Linked DNA regions of Macaca fascicularis. The protein of the gene in region 2 interacts with the protein of the main gene of each other region in a pairwise test. Links are inferred from orthologs where the notes say so. Each region holds a gene or a part of one and is shown on either strand. Other genes may lie near its edges. The genes, in order: SESTD1, GPS2 and RALBP1.

Region 1 (3,648 bases), on a different chromosome or scaffold from region 2:
TTGAATGAAATAAACTTTTAAGACTTTAGGTTATAATTAACGGATTCATTAATCACATGATAGTAATCACTGTATAAATGACATTTTGATACAGTAAGTAAAGAGTTCTGAATCCAGCTTCATTGTTATGTCTTTTTGTTTAGGCAGTAGAATGGCTAAGTGAACTTCTGGATGCTCTGCTTAAGACTCACATCAGATTGGGCGATGATGCTCAAGAAACGAAAGTTTTGCTGGAAAAGCATAGAAAATTTGTTGATGTTGCACAGGTGCAAAACTGGTTATCTTCCTTTTCCACAAGTTCAGTGTTTGAATAGCTTTCTGCATGATTATAATGTAACTTTACCCTCCAAGTACAAGAAGGTTAGTTTTGTTATTCCAGAAGTATCACAGAATTAAGAAAGTGTCAGCTGGTGCATCAAAACTAGCCTGCATAAACTTGAGAGGGTTTATGTTTCCCTGAATACATGTTCTGCATGGTCCCTCTGATTTATGCTATATATTGTGGCATTTTTTAGGCAATCCAGCTGTTGATTCACAGAAGTTAATATGAAATGGATGTTAATATCAGTAAATAAGAAACCTCACTTTCTGCATCTCACTAGTGTTAGCATAATAATACAGAACTTTTTTGTGGTGAAAAGTATCTTTCTTTTTTTTTTTTTTTTTAAAGACAGAATCTTCCTCTGTTGCCCAGGCTGGAGTGCAGTGATATAATCTCAGCTCACTGCAACCTCTGCCTCCCAGGTTCAAGCGATTCTCATGCCTCAAGCCGCCTGAGTAGCTGGGATTACAGGCACTGGCCACCACGCCTGGCTAGTTTTTGTATTTTTAATAGAGATGGGGTTTCACCTTGTTGGCCAGGCTGGTCTTGAACTCCTGACCTCAAGTGATCCACCCACCTCGGCCTCCCAAAGTGCTGGGATTACAGGTGTGAGCTACGGCGCCACGCCAATAAGTATCTTATTTTCCCTGATAATGAGTTCACATTGTAACAGGTGTAGTTTCCTATATGGAATATAAAGTGCCTAATTTCACCTTCTTTTGAAAGTAGTTTTGATTAATTCATAAGCAGACATTCTTTCTGACCAGTGAAATTTGGCGGATTGTGATGGGGGAAACAGAATGAAGTGGGGAAGCCTAACAGAAAGAGAGTTTTTTTCTAATTAAAAATTTTAAAACAATTTATTTTTTTGAGACAAGACCTTGCTCTGTCACCTACGATATAATGTGGTAGCACAATGATAGCTCTCTGCATCCTCCAACTCCTGGGTTCAAGTGATCCTCCTGCCTCAGCCTCCGAGGTAGCTGGGACTATAGGCAAGTGTGGCCAAACTCAACCAATTTTTTTTTTCATTTTTTTGGGGCAGGATCTTGCTATGTGGGCCAAGCTGGTCTTGAACTCCTAGGTTCAAGCGATCCTCCCACCTCAGCCTCCCAAAGTGCTGGGATTACAGACATGAGCCACTGTGCCTGGCCAAGAAACTTATTATAAACTAACCAAAAATATTGCTTCCCCTTTATTATTTATACACACAGATAATTTGTAGTAATAAGTGCCACTAGATTTATTCAGTATTGATTTCTAGTAGTGTCACTTAATTGTAAGGACAGTCTTCCTGCACACTTTCCTCATCCTTCTCTTAAGAATTCTTTTTTTATAATTTTATGTTTCCTTTTCTTTTTTAGAGCACTTATGACTATGGCAGACAGTTGCTACAGGCCACAGTGGTGTTATGCCAGTCTTTGCGTTGCACTTCTCGGTCATCTGGGGATACGCTTCCTCGATTGAACAGAGTATGGAAACAATTTACAATAGCATCTGAAGAGAGAGTACATAGGTTGGAAATGGCTATTGCATTTCACTCAAATGCTGAAAAGGTTTGCTTTTTTTTTGAAATGTTATTCTCAGTGGTATTTATTATATGTGTTTAAAGTGTGTTAATTTTAGTAATGTAACTATATGACTGATCTATTTTTCAATATTTATATTAGTTCCATTGTTAGTTTGCTTAGATATAATATATTGCCTTAGAGAGTTCAAATTAAATTCTTGATTCTTACCAGTGCTGGAGAGCTGTGATTAAAGAAATCTAGAACCACGTGGTAGTCTTCTCTTTACACTTGTCTCCTCACCAAGCCTGGTGTCCAGAATATGCCCTCTGTTCTTTAGAGTATCATGAGTTCATTCTCTTTCGTTATGCCTGGAAGGGAAACTTTTTGCTTTGGCAACTGCTATTAATTGTCACACATTTTCTAAAAGGCACCTTGTGATTTTATAAAGTAGGGACATTAAAAAAATAAGGACAAAAGTAAAATGCTTTTTTATATGGGTTCTTTAAAGATTCATTCTAGAATTTATTATTCAATGAATTAAGGTCATTAATTCCAGAAACAAAAGATAAAATATGCAGGGTTATTTGGACACATTTTCAATAGAACTTTTTTCTTACTCTTTGTAGTAAGAATTTATTGTACCCAAGCCTTACATATCCGTTCTGAAAAGGAACTTTATTATGTAGTTAATTTTGTTTTGATCTCTTACAATAAAAGTTTATACGTAGGGAATGTTCATTACACTTTGAGATATTAGCAAACCTAACTCGATCCATAGAACAGATGTTGCAAGGAACCTCAGGAATTAAACAGTTTCTGAGTTATGAAGTACATCTGTTGGGATGTGTCCATAGTTAACTCATTCTCAGCTGGTCATTGAACTCCATAGATCAGTGTTTGATGAACATGGGCCTAATGATAAATGGAAGTATACAAAATGGTGTAACTTGTTTACTGATTGTTTCAATGAGGATTTTTTATTATTAAGTATACTGTTAACATAGAAAACATACAGACCACAAGTATTCTGTGCAGTGAGATTTCACAAAGTGAACACACCTGTGTAATCAGTTTACTGTTCAAAAAAACAGAACATTACCAGCATCCAGAAGCTCCCCTCCGTTCCTGTAGTCACAGTACTGCTCCCCCCACCACCTCACTGTCAAAGAGTGACCATTGGCCCAATGTCTAGCACCACTGATAACTTTTGTTTTGTTTTTCAAGACGGAGTCTCACTCTGTCACCCAGGCTAGAGTGCAGTGGCACGATCTCGGCTCACTGCAAGCTCAGCCTCCCAGGTTCACGCCATTCTCCTGCCTCAGCCTCCCGAGTAGCTGGGACTACAGGCGCCCACCACCACACCTAGCTAATTTTTTAAATTTTTTAGTAGAGACGGGATTTCACTGTGTTAGCCAGAATGGTCTCCATCTCCTGACCTTGTAATTCACCCGCCTCGGCCTCCCGAAGTGCGGGGATTACAGGCGTGAGCCACCGTGCCTGGCCCACTGATGATTTTTTAGGATACTGCTTTTAACTACCTTTTAATGAGGTCATATAAGAATGAATAGAGTTGAAAGATTTTTTTGAATAGAAAGTTGTTTCCATTTTTTTTCTGTTACCTAGCCTTTGTCTTGTTTGTAGTAAATTTGATTTAAATTTGATTTACTTAGGTTGTACAAACTTAAGTAAAACCCTTTGTTATCAGATATTACTTTCTTCTTGACTGTATTCTATTTTACACCATTAAGCATAAATATAAATAACCACAACTATAAGCCAATTGTCTAGTATAATGATTAGAAAAATATCTGAATT
Region 2 (4,080 bases):
GAGGGGGGCGAAGGAGACAGCAGTGTGGCTGGTGTGGGCATCGTAAGAAGGTGGGAGAGATTCGAGCAAAGGCTTGAAGAAGGAAGTGAAGGGTGTAGCTGAGCAGGCTTTGGGAGGAAGAACATTTCAGGTAGAAAGAACAGCTAGAGTGAAGCTCCTATAAGGCGGGAGTATTTCCTAGGTACAGCAAGGCTTGTGTGGTTGGAACAGACTTTGCAAGGGGGAGGTGATGGGGAGAGAAGCTTCACTCCCTTATTTTTTCCTGTTTGACAGATTCCGGGACCCCAAATCCCAGCGGACGCACCAGGCTCAGGTGGCGTTCCAGGTGTGTGTGCGCCCTGGCTCCTACACCCCGGGACCCCCTTCCGCTGCCCTTGGAGAACCTCCTGACCCTCACTTCAGTCCAGCCGAACTTGAGTGGGTCACTAAGGAGAAGGGGGCCACACTCCTCTATGCCCTGCTGGTACGGGTGGAATGAGGGGTGACACACAAATACTACAAGCACAGTCGGGCCTCGGGCCCATGGACTCTGGCGACTGCCTCCACCTCATTCCCGTGACTCGTGGCATGCGCAGGTGCTGGAGCTTGGCAGCCGCGCAGGAGCATGTAGGCAGGCTCTCAGATGTAGGTGGCAAGTGGCACAGCTCCATGTCTGGAGGCCCAGCACTCCGTCTGATGGGAGGAGCCGTGGGAGCCCAGCTCCAGGCCCTGGTACCCCTCTTCATGCACTGATTTGGGGAACATGACTCCCTTTTACTCCCCTTCCCCACATCACTTAATTTATTTCCGTTTTTGTTTCTGGTTACTGTGAATCCCAGAGGAGTCTCTCCCTGTGCCCACATGAAGCTGCTTTTTCCGGGGCCACCAGGCGGGAGTGGGGAAGGGTGGGCGCACGGAAGATGGGGGCCTCTGTACAGTTGTTACTGACTCTGATTTCTAAGGAGCCAATAAACACCGTCTCAGAGCCTCCGCCTCGGCCTCTCTCTCGCGCGCCCCTCCCCGGAGCCCGCGTCCCCTGGGGTGCCACCAGGTGGGCCCGCGAAATTAAAGAGAGCTGAGGATGCCAAGACCAGTTTACAGCCCTCGTCGCCCGCGTTCCCGGCTACGGGGTTTGGACGCCGCGGGCACCCGTCGCAGCGCGCTTCCGCTTTCTCTCACCCAACCCGTGAGGTCGGCCGCAGCCGTGACTCCGGAAGGACTTGGCCGGGCCGCCGGATGTGACGTACGGGCCAGGGCGCGCCGGAGCTGCTGAGAAAGCGCAGAGAAGGCGGGTAGGGAGGGCTGGCGTCCGGGCTGGCTGGGCAGGGAGCGGCAGCACCGAGTCGGGGATCCCGGCGCCGCCCGTGCGCGCGGTGGAGCGGGGGCTGCGGGCCCGGCCGGGTGGCGGGCTCCTGGGACACGTGACCGGGGCGGCTAGCGGGTCGGGCGGACGGGCTTCCGCCTGGGCCGGGCGCGGTCCCCTCTGAGCGCCCGCCTCCCCGCAGGCGCCGTCTGAGGTCTGGCAGTCAGAGACAGAGCCGGGCGCCCACGGCCCGAGCGCCCACGGCAGCACCATGCCCGCACTCCTGGAGCGCCCCAAGCTTTCCAACGCCATGGCCAGGGCGCTGCACCGGCACATTATGATGGAGCGGGAGCGCAAGCGGCAGGGTGAGCCGGGGCCATAGCGGGGGGACACACGGCCCAGAATGGCTCCTGTACCTCAGGGTTGGCCTCAACCCAGCGGCCAACCAGTGAGCCCGCTGCCGAGCGCAGAGGAGGGAAGGAATAGCCCCGTTGTGGTGGGATTTAAGCGTCCTGGTCCACGCTCCAGAACCCTTGAGACGGGAAGGACCTTGGAGAGCACCTGATAAAGCCTCTCCGTTCCCTATTGCAGCGATGGGGGAGCTTGTCCCCTCGAGGCAAAGAGCGCACAGGCGTGTTGGGATGACTGGGTTTTGCTGGTCTTCAATCTAACGTTGGAACTGTTTTCACTACCCTGCCTCTTCTTCATTCTGCCTGATTCTCCAGAGGAAGAAGAGGTGGATAAGATGATGGAACAGAAGATGAAGGAAGAACAGGAGAGAAGGAAGAAAAAGGAGATGGAAGAGAGAATGTCACTAGAGGAGACCAAGGAACAAGTAAGCAGTCCCTTGAACTCTCCCAGCTTTGATTTCTTCCCTTGACTCTCCCTGCCTTCATCTTCTCTTCCCACTCCCTCCCAGATTCTGAAGTTGGAGGAGAAGCTTTTGGCCCTACAGGAAGAGAAGCATCAGCTTTTCCTGCAGCTCAAGAAAGTTTTACATGAGGAAGAAAAACGGAGGCGAAAGGAACAGAGGTAGGATCAGAGTACTAAAAACTGAAATGGGGGCCAAGTGGAACTGGGATCAAGTAATAAAAGAACTAGTGTTTAATGGCGAAAGAGAAGGCATCTGTCCTTAGCTTTGACCTGCCTTCCTCTCACTCCAGTGACCTGACCACCCTGACATCAGCTGCATACCAGCAGAGCCTGACTGTCCACACAGGAACTCATCTCCTCAGCATGCAGGGTGAGGACTAAAGAGACCACCTGATGGAACCGGCCTTCTTACAGGTTGCAGCCTCCCATTTCAGCATCATGAAGCCCTTCTCCCTTTCTAGGGAGCCCTGGAGGACACAATCGCCCAGGCACCCTCATGGCAGCTGACAGAGCCAAACAAATGTTTGGACCCCAAGTGCTTACGGTGAGAGTAGGATTGGATGCCCAGCCCCTACTGCTTCCATCCATGCATCCTTGCCACCAGTATTCAAGTCACAAACATATCAAGCACTTAAGTTTAGGGGGAAATGGGGCATACAGATATACACAAGTCACTGGGTTTCAGCTTTCAAGTTTATAGGCGAATTCTCATTCTCCCTCCTTAGACCCGGCACTATGTGGGCTCAGCAGCTGCTTTTGCGGGGACACCAGAGCATGGACAATTCCAAGGCAGTCCTGGTGGTGCCTATGGGACTGCTCAGCCCCCACCTCACTATGGGCCCACACAGCCAGCTTATAGTCCTAGTCAGCAGCTCAGAGGTGAGTAATAGGAGGGATGGGGCTTGGCCTTCCTCAACGTCAAAGGAGGAATGCCGTTGAGTAAAAGGTTTTAATGGCTCTGTCTTTTCCTTTCTCAGCTCCTTCAGCATTCCCTGCAGTGCAGTACCTATCTCAGCCACAGCCACAGCCCTATGCCGTGCACGGCCACTTTCAGCCCACTCAGACAGGTGATAACATCCCATGCAGGAGCTCTAGCTCTCTGGGTCCTCCCCTCCCTGTTTCATTCTCATCTCACATGCCCCTCTTCCCCACGTAGGTTTCCTCCAGCCTGGTGGTGCCCTGTCCTTGCAAAAGCAGATGGAACATGCTAACCAGCAGACTGGCTTCTCCGACTCAGTGAGTATGGCATCTTGGGAGGTCAGGGTTAGGGATATGTTAAGGGGAGCATCAGTATGCCTCAGGCCCTGACTCTGTTCTCTGCAGTCCTCTCTGCGCCCCATGCACCCCCAGGCTCTGCATCCAGCCCCTGGACTCCTTGCTTCCCCACAGCTCCCTGTGCAGATGCAACCAGCAGGAAAGGTAAGAATGATAATAAAGTTTACCTGTCAGAATCCTTACACTAGGGATCCAGAAAAGCAGGATTAGGTAGGACCGGTGGCCCACATCACCTGGTTTTTCTTCCTCTCTGGGGGTGGTTACCAGTAGGGCATTAAGTGGGAGAGTACGCCCAGTGACAAAGCCCTCTTTTCATCACCACCGCCAGTCGGGCTTTGCAGCTACCAGCCAACCTGGCCCTCGGCTCCCCTTCATCCAACACAGCCAGAACCCGCGATTCTACCACAAGTGACGATCAGATTATATCTTCAACATCATGCCCCCTGCCCCACTGTGGGTGAGGATACCCCCCGTGTGTCCCAGGCCAATAAAATCTACCTGCCACTGACCCTGGCTGCTGCTGTTTGTGTTGCCTCCCACCCAACTGTCTGGAATAGGTCAAGGCTGCTTGGGGGGTGGGGGGATGACTGGCAGGTCCACAGCAAGTCAGTGATAGACAGCGGGTTCCATGAACTCAGTGGCAGAGTTCA
Region 3 (3,648 bases), on a different chromosome or scaffold from region 2:
TCTCACAAAGCTATCCTCCACATGAATACAAATCTCTAACCTCAAAGAAACAGAAGGACTCAGGTTGCCTTTGTCTTTTTAACACAACCACAACAGAGACCTACTATCATGTTCCCCAATTCAGGCAAGGGCTAACTAATGATCCTTGGATGTGCTGTTTAGATGCTGCAGTGGATCTGCAATGTGGATTTTAAGGTGATCCAGAGATCTGGGATTTTACTGTTGCTGTGGCTGGTCCACTCACAGTCCCAGAACCAAGCAACACACACTAAACAAGAGGGAACTCAAAAGTCTGACTGGTGTACCCTAAACTCATCAGGTACTGCATGCCCCTCTTCTTCTTATTACATAAATAGAATCTCTCCTGATCTTCAGGACCTTCCAGGCAACCCTCATCACTACATTTCCAAAGAGCTGATACTAAATGCCTCAAATTCCAGCAGTCCCCGAAGGTGTGTCACCATCCAGCCTGCTTCTCATCTGCAGAAAGCCTTGTTTACAGGTATAACCGAGCAGGAAATGACACATTTTTTAGTAAATTCATTTTTAATTAAAACAAAACTTTCTAGGCCAGGCATGGTGGCTTATGCCTATAATCCCAGCACTTTGGGAGGTGGGAGGACTGCTTGAGCCCAGAAGTTTGAGACCAGCCTGGGCAACATAACAAGACCCCATTTCTACAAGCAATAAAAAATCAGCTGAGCATGGTGGCACACACCTGTAGGCCCACCTACTCAGTACTCAGAACGCTGAGGTAGGAGGATCCCTTGAGCCCAGGAGGTCGAGGCTACAGTGAACCATTATCATGCCATTGCACTCCAGCCTGGGTGACAGAGCGAGATCCTGTCTCAAAAAAAATTAAAAAAACGTTCTAGATTACATTGAAACATGTGACTGACACCAGGCTGCAATATCAATAATACAGGACTAGAAACATTTTAGTGAATAAATTTCCCACCAGAGAAGTTCACTTCAAGTGACATTATCTATAATATTCTTAAAAGAAAGAACTTGGGCTGGGCGTGGTGGCTCATGCCTGTAATCCCAGCACTTTGGGGGAGGCCGAGGTGGGAGGATTACTTGAGGCCAAGAGTTTGAGACCAGCCTGGTCAATATCAAAAGAAAAAGGAAAGAAAGAAAATACTTCAAAGAGCACATAAAGGACATAAAAGACTCCAACACGTTCTATTATAAACATTAGGTATCAAACTAGTAACCCACCTGTCTTTTAGCTTCTCTGAGTTTTCTTTTGAGGGCTGTCAAAATTCTTTGTACTTCCCATAATCTTTCTTCTTTAGACAAATCCTTTATCCCGCCCTGCAGATCTCGATGTAAACAATTCAAAAGAAACTCCTAGAAAGCAATGCCACACACTAAGTTGCATTCCATATCCTCTTATCTTAAACAACACATGCAATTTCTAAAGATGAAGAATCAACTATTTTTCAATTATCCTTTATTTCATTAGAGTAAAATAATGGCACTGATATGATTGAAAAATCATTCTTACTGTTTTGCCAATGAATTATTCGCTAATTTGTATTGGTTCAATAATACTTAACATCCCCATCTCCAATGTCATCATCATTAACTAGTAAGAACTGGGAGCTCACGGCAGACACAAGGGAGGAAAAGCAAGCAGGGGTTTGATAAAGTGCATGCAAATAAATAATCAAATGTAATTAACTTTCTTATTTAGTCTTGATTACACACACCCACACAAACACGGCATGGTTACTTCCATCAAAATAACATAGTAAAAACGCCCAGGATTTGGGCTCAACTCTTGGGTCTATAATAAATAATCATGTTACTTAACTTCCCCAAATTTTAATATTCTTATCTATAAAATATGGCTGATGACAGCAACCTTGTCCAGAAAAAGCAAACATTTTTAGACTATTTACAGCGTGCCTGGCCTGTTTCATGTATTGTCTCATTTGTGGCAAAATCTTCACACCAATCCTTTAAGAGGGCCCATTTTAAAGCAAGAACACCAGCGCTTAAGGTGGTTAAGAATTCGCCTAAAATCAGTTATAACTGAGAGCAGAGCAAGAATTTAAAGCCAGGTCTTTTGATTCCAAAAACTATGCTCTTTCCACCATGGTATTCCGACTTATTCAGCATGAAACAGTACCAGATGGGAATTTCTGACTTCAGTGTGCCTCACATAGCTCCAGACACACAGAAAGTGCTCAGGAAACAAGAGCCCATCACCACTGGACTCCACAATGGCCAATGCAGACGCAGGCTGTGGCAGGCAGGGTGCACACACCTGTCTCCTGATCTCCTCCTTGATGCCCGCCTGGGTCTCTGGCAGTGTGGGCATCGTGGCCATGTTAGACCATCGCAGAGGTTTCGTCACTTGCTTTAGTACCACATTTCCAAAGAGTTCTTGCACATGTGTGAAAAACACATACAGGACTCGATTGCTAATCTAAGAAAAAAAGATTTACAAGAAAACCATTAAAATTATCATTCTATTTCAGTTATTTGTGTCTAACATAATATATCCTTTAATCCTGGACACATAAAGAAAATTCTACCCAGTACTGACAACACAGTCTTTGCTAGTTAATGGTCAATTTAAGAAGAAAATGGTCAATTTAAGAAGAAGACTCATAAAATATGAGTTAAATCATGTATTCAAGCACCAGAAAGAATTGAAGAGGAAAAAAAAAAACCAAGAAAAGGATAGAGAAGCTGATGCCCATTCATTTGTTTTTTTTTTCTATCACTACAGTATTAACTGATTAAAACACCTTATGTTTTTTTGAGTATTGTTTTGTTTTTTTGTTTTGAGATGGAGTCTCGCTCTGTAGCCCAGGCTAGAGTACTGTGGCACAATCTCAGCTCACTGCAAGCTCCACCTCATGGGTTCAAGCGATTTTCCTGCCTCAGCCTCTCTGGTAAGCTGGGATTACAGGTGTGCGCCACCACGCCTGATTGATTTTTTTGTATTTTCAGTAGAGATGGGGTTTCACCATGTTGGCCAGGCTGGTCTCGAACTACTGACCTCAAATGATCTACCCACCTCAGCTTCCCAAAGTGCTGCGATTACAGGCATGAGCCACCATGCCCAGCTAAAACATCTTATGTTCTTTATTTTGAACTTACTTTGAGATATTTTAACAGCTACAATGGGCTGAATGAGGACCGTGAGGGAAGTGAGAGCACCACAGCAGTAAAACTGGGTTGAGGTTGAAAGCCCTCACTCCAGAAACAAATACCTGGACACAGCCAGCATTTAAGTGTGGATGTTCACATGCTAGGAGACCAGGGCATTAGGTTGGCTGAAAAGCTACTACAAGAAATTACTTCCTACCTAAAACTTACTCTTACAACACACTTGACTCTTCTATGATACAACCATCTCTATTATATTATAGTAATATTAAGTATCAATGTAATATTTACCAGATCCTGAAATCCTAATATGAATGATCAAACTAAAATCTGAGAAACATTTTGCTTTCAAAGTGTAACCAATGAATAACAGAAGAGTATTTTTTAGAGATAGAATTTTGCTCTGTCACTCAGAGAGGAGTAGAGTGGGATGATCATAGCTCACTGCTGGGCTCAAGCAATCCTCCTACCTCAGTCTGCCAAGTAACTAGGACTATACATACATGCTACCACACCCAGCTA

Evidence for each region.
Region 1: the proteins of GPS2 (region 2) and SESTD1 interact in binary tests that used the Homo sapiens proteins (3 or more experiments, as listed by UniProt). The two-hybrid records come from large-scale screens. The link is inferred for Macaca fascicularis from reciprocal best matches to the Homo sapiens genes GPS2 and SESTD1.
Region 3: the proteins of GPS2 (region 2) and RALBP1 interact in binary tests that used the Homo sapiens proteins (3 or more experiments, as listed by UniProt). The two-hybrid records come from large-scale screens. The link is inferred for Macaca fascicularis from reciprocal best matches to the Homo sapiens genes GPS2 and RALBP1.

The regions. Positions count from the first base shown.
Region 1 is NC_088386.1:74,665,668-74,669,315, reverse strand, and holds part of SESTD1 (SEC14 domain and spectrin repeat-containing protein 1), read left to right. Parts: intron 1-143; coding exon 144-266; exon of another isoform or gene 267-360; intron 361-1,686; coding exon 1,687-1,878; intron 1,879-3,648. UniProt on the Homo sapiens protein: May act as the primary docking protein directing membrane turnover and assembly of the transient receptor potential channels TRPC4 and TRPC5.
Region 2 is NC_088390.1:7,369,417-7,373,496, reverse strand, and holds GPS2 (G protein pathway suppressor 2), read left to right. Parts: upstream 1-1,213; 5' UTR 1,214-1,267; exon of another isoform or gene 1,268-1,343; intron 1,344-1,484; 5' UTR 1,485-1,553; coding exon 1,554-1,647; intron 1,648-2,007; coding exon 2,008-2,117; intron 2,118-2,201; coding exon 2,202-2,314; intron 2,315-2,445; coding exon 2,446-2,525; intron 2,526-2,616; coding exon 2,617-2,699; intron 2,700-2,880; coding exon 2,881-3,034; intron 3,035-3,132; coding exon 3,133-3,222; intron 3,223-3,311; coding exon 3,312-3,391; intron 3,392-3,478; coding exon 3,479-3,574; intron 3,575-3,758; coding exon 3,759-3,842; 3' UTR 3,843-3,938; downstream 3,939-4,080. Other genes in the region: NEURL4 (neuralized-like protein 4), read left to right, coding at 274-478. UniProt on the Homo sapiens protein: Key regulator of inflammation, lipid metabolism and mitochondrion homeostasis that acts by inhibiting the activity of the ubiquitin-conjugating enzyme UBE2N/Ubc13, thereby inhibiting 'Lys-63'-linked ubiquitination.
Region 3 is NC_088392.1:77,877,504-77,881,151, reverse strand, and holds part of RALBP1 (ralA-binding protein 1), read right to left. Parts: intron 2,438-3,648; coding exon 2,276-2,437; intron 1,354-2,275; coding exon 1,222-1,353; intron 1-1,221. UniProt on the Homo sapiens protein: Multifunctional protein that functions as a downstream effector of RALA and RALB. As a GTPase-activating protein/GAP can inactivate CDC42 and RAC1 by stimulating their GTPase activity.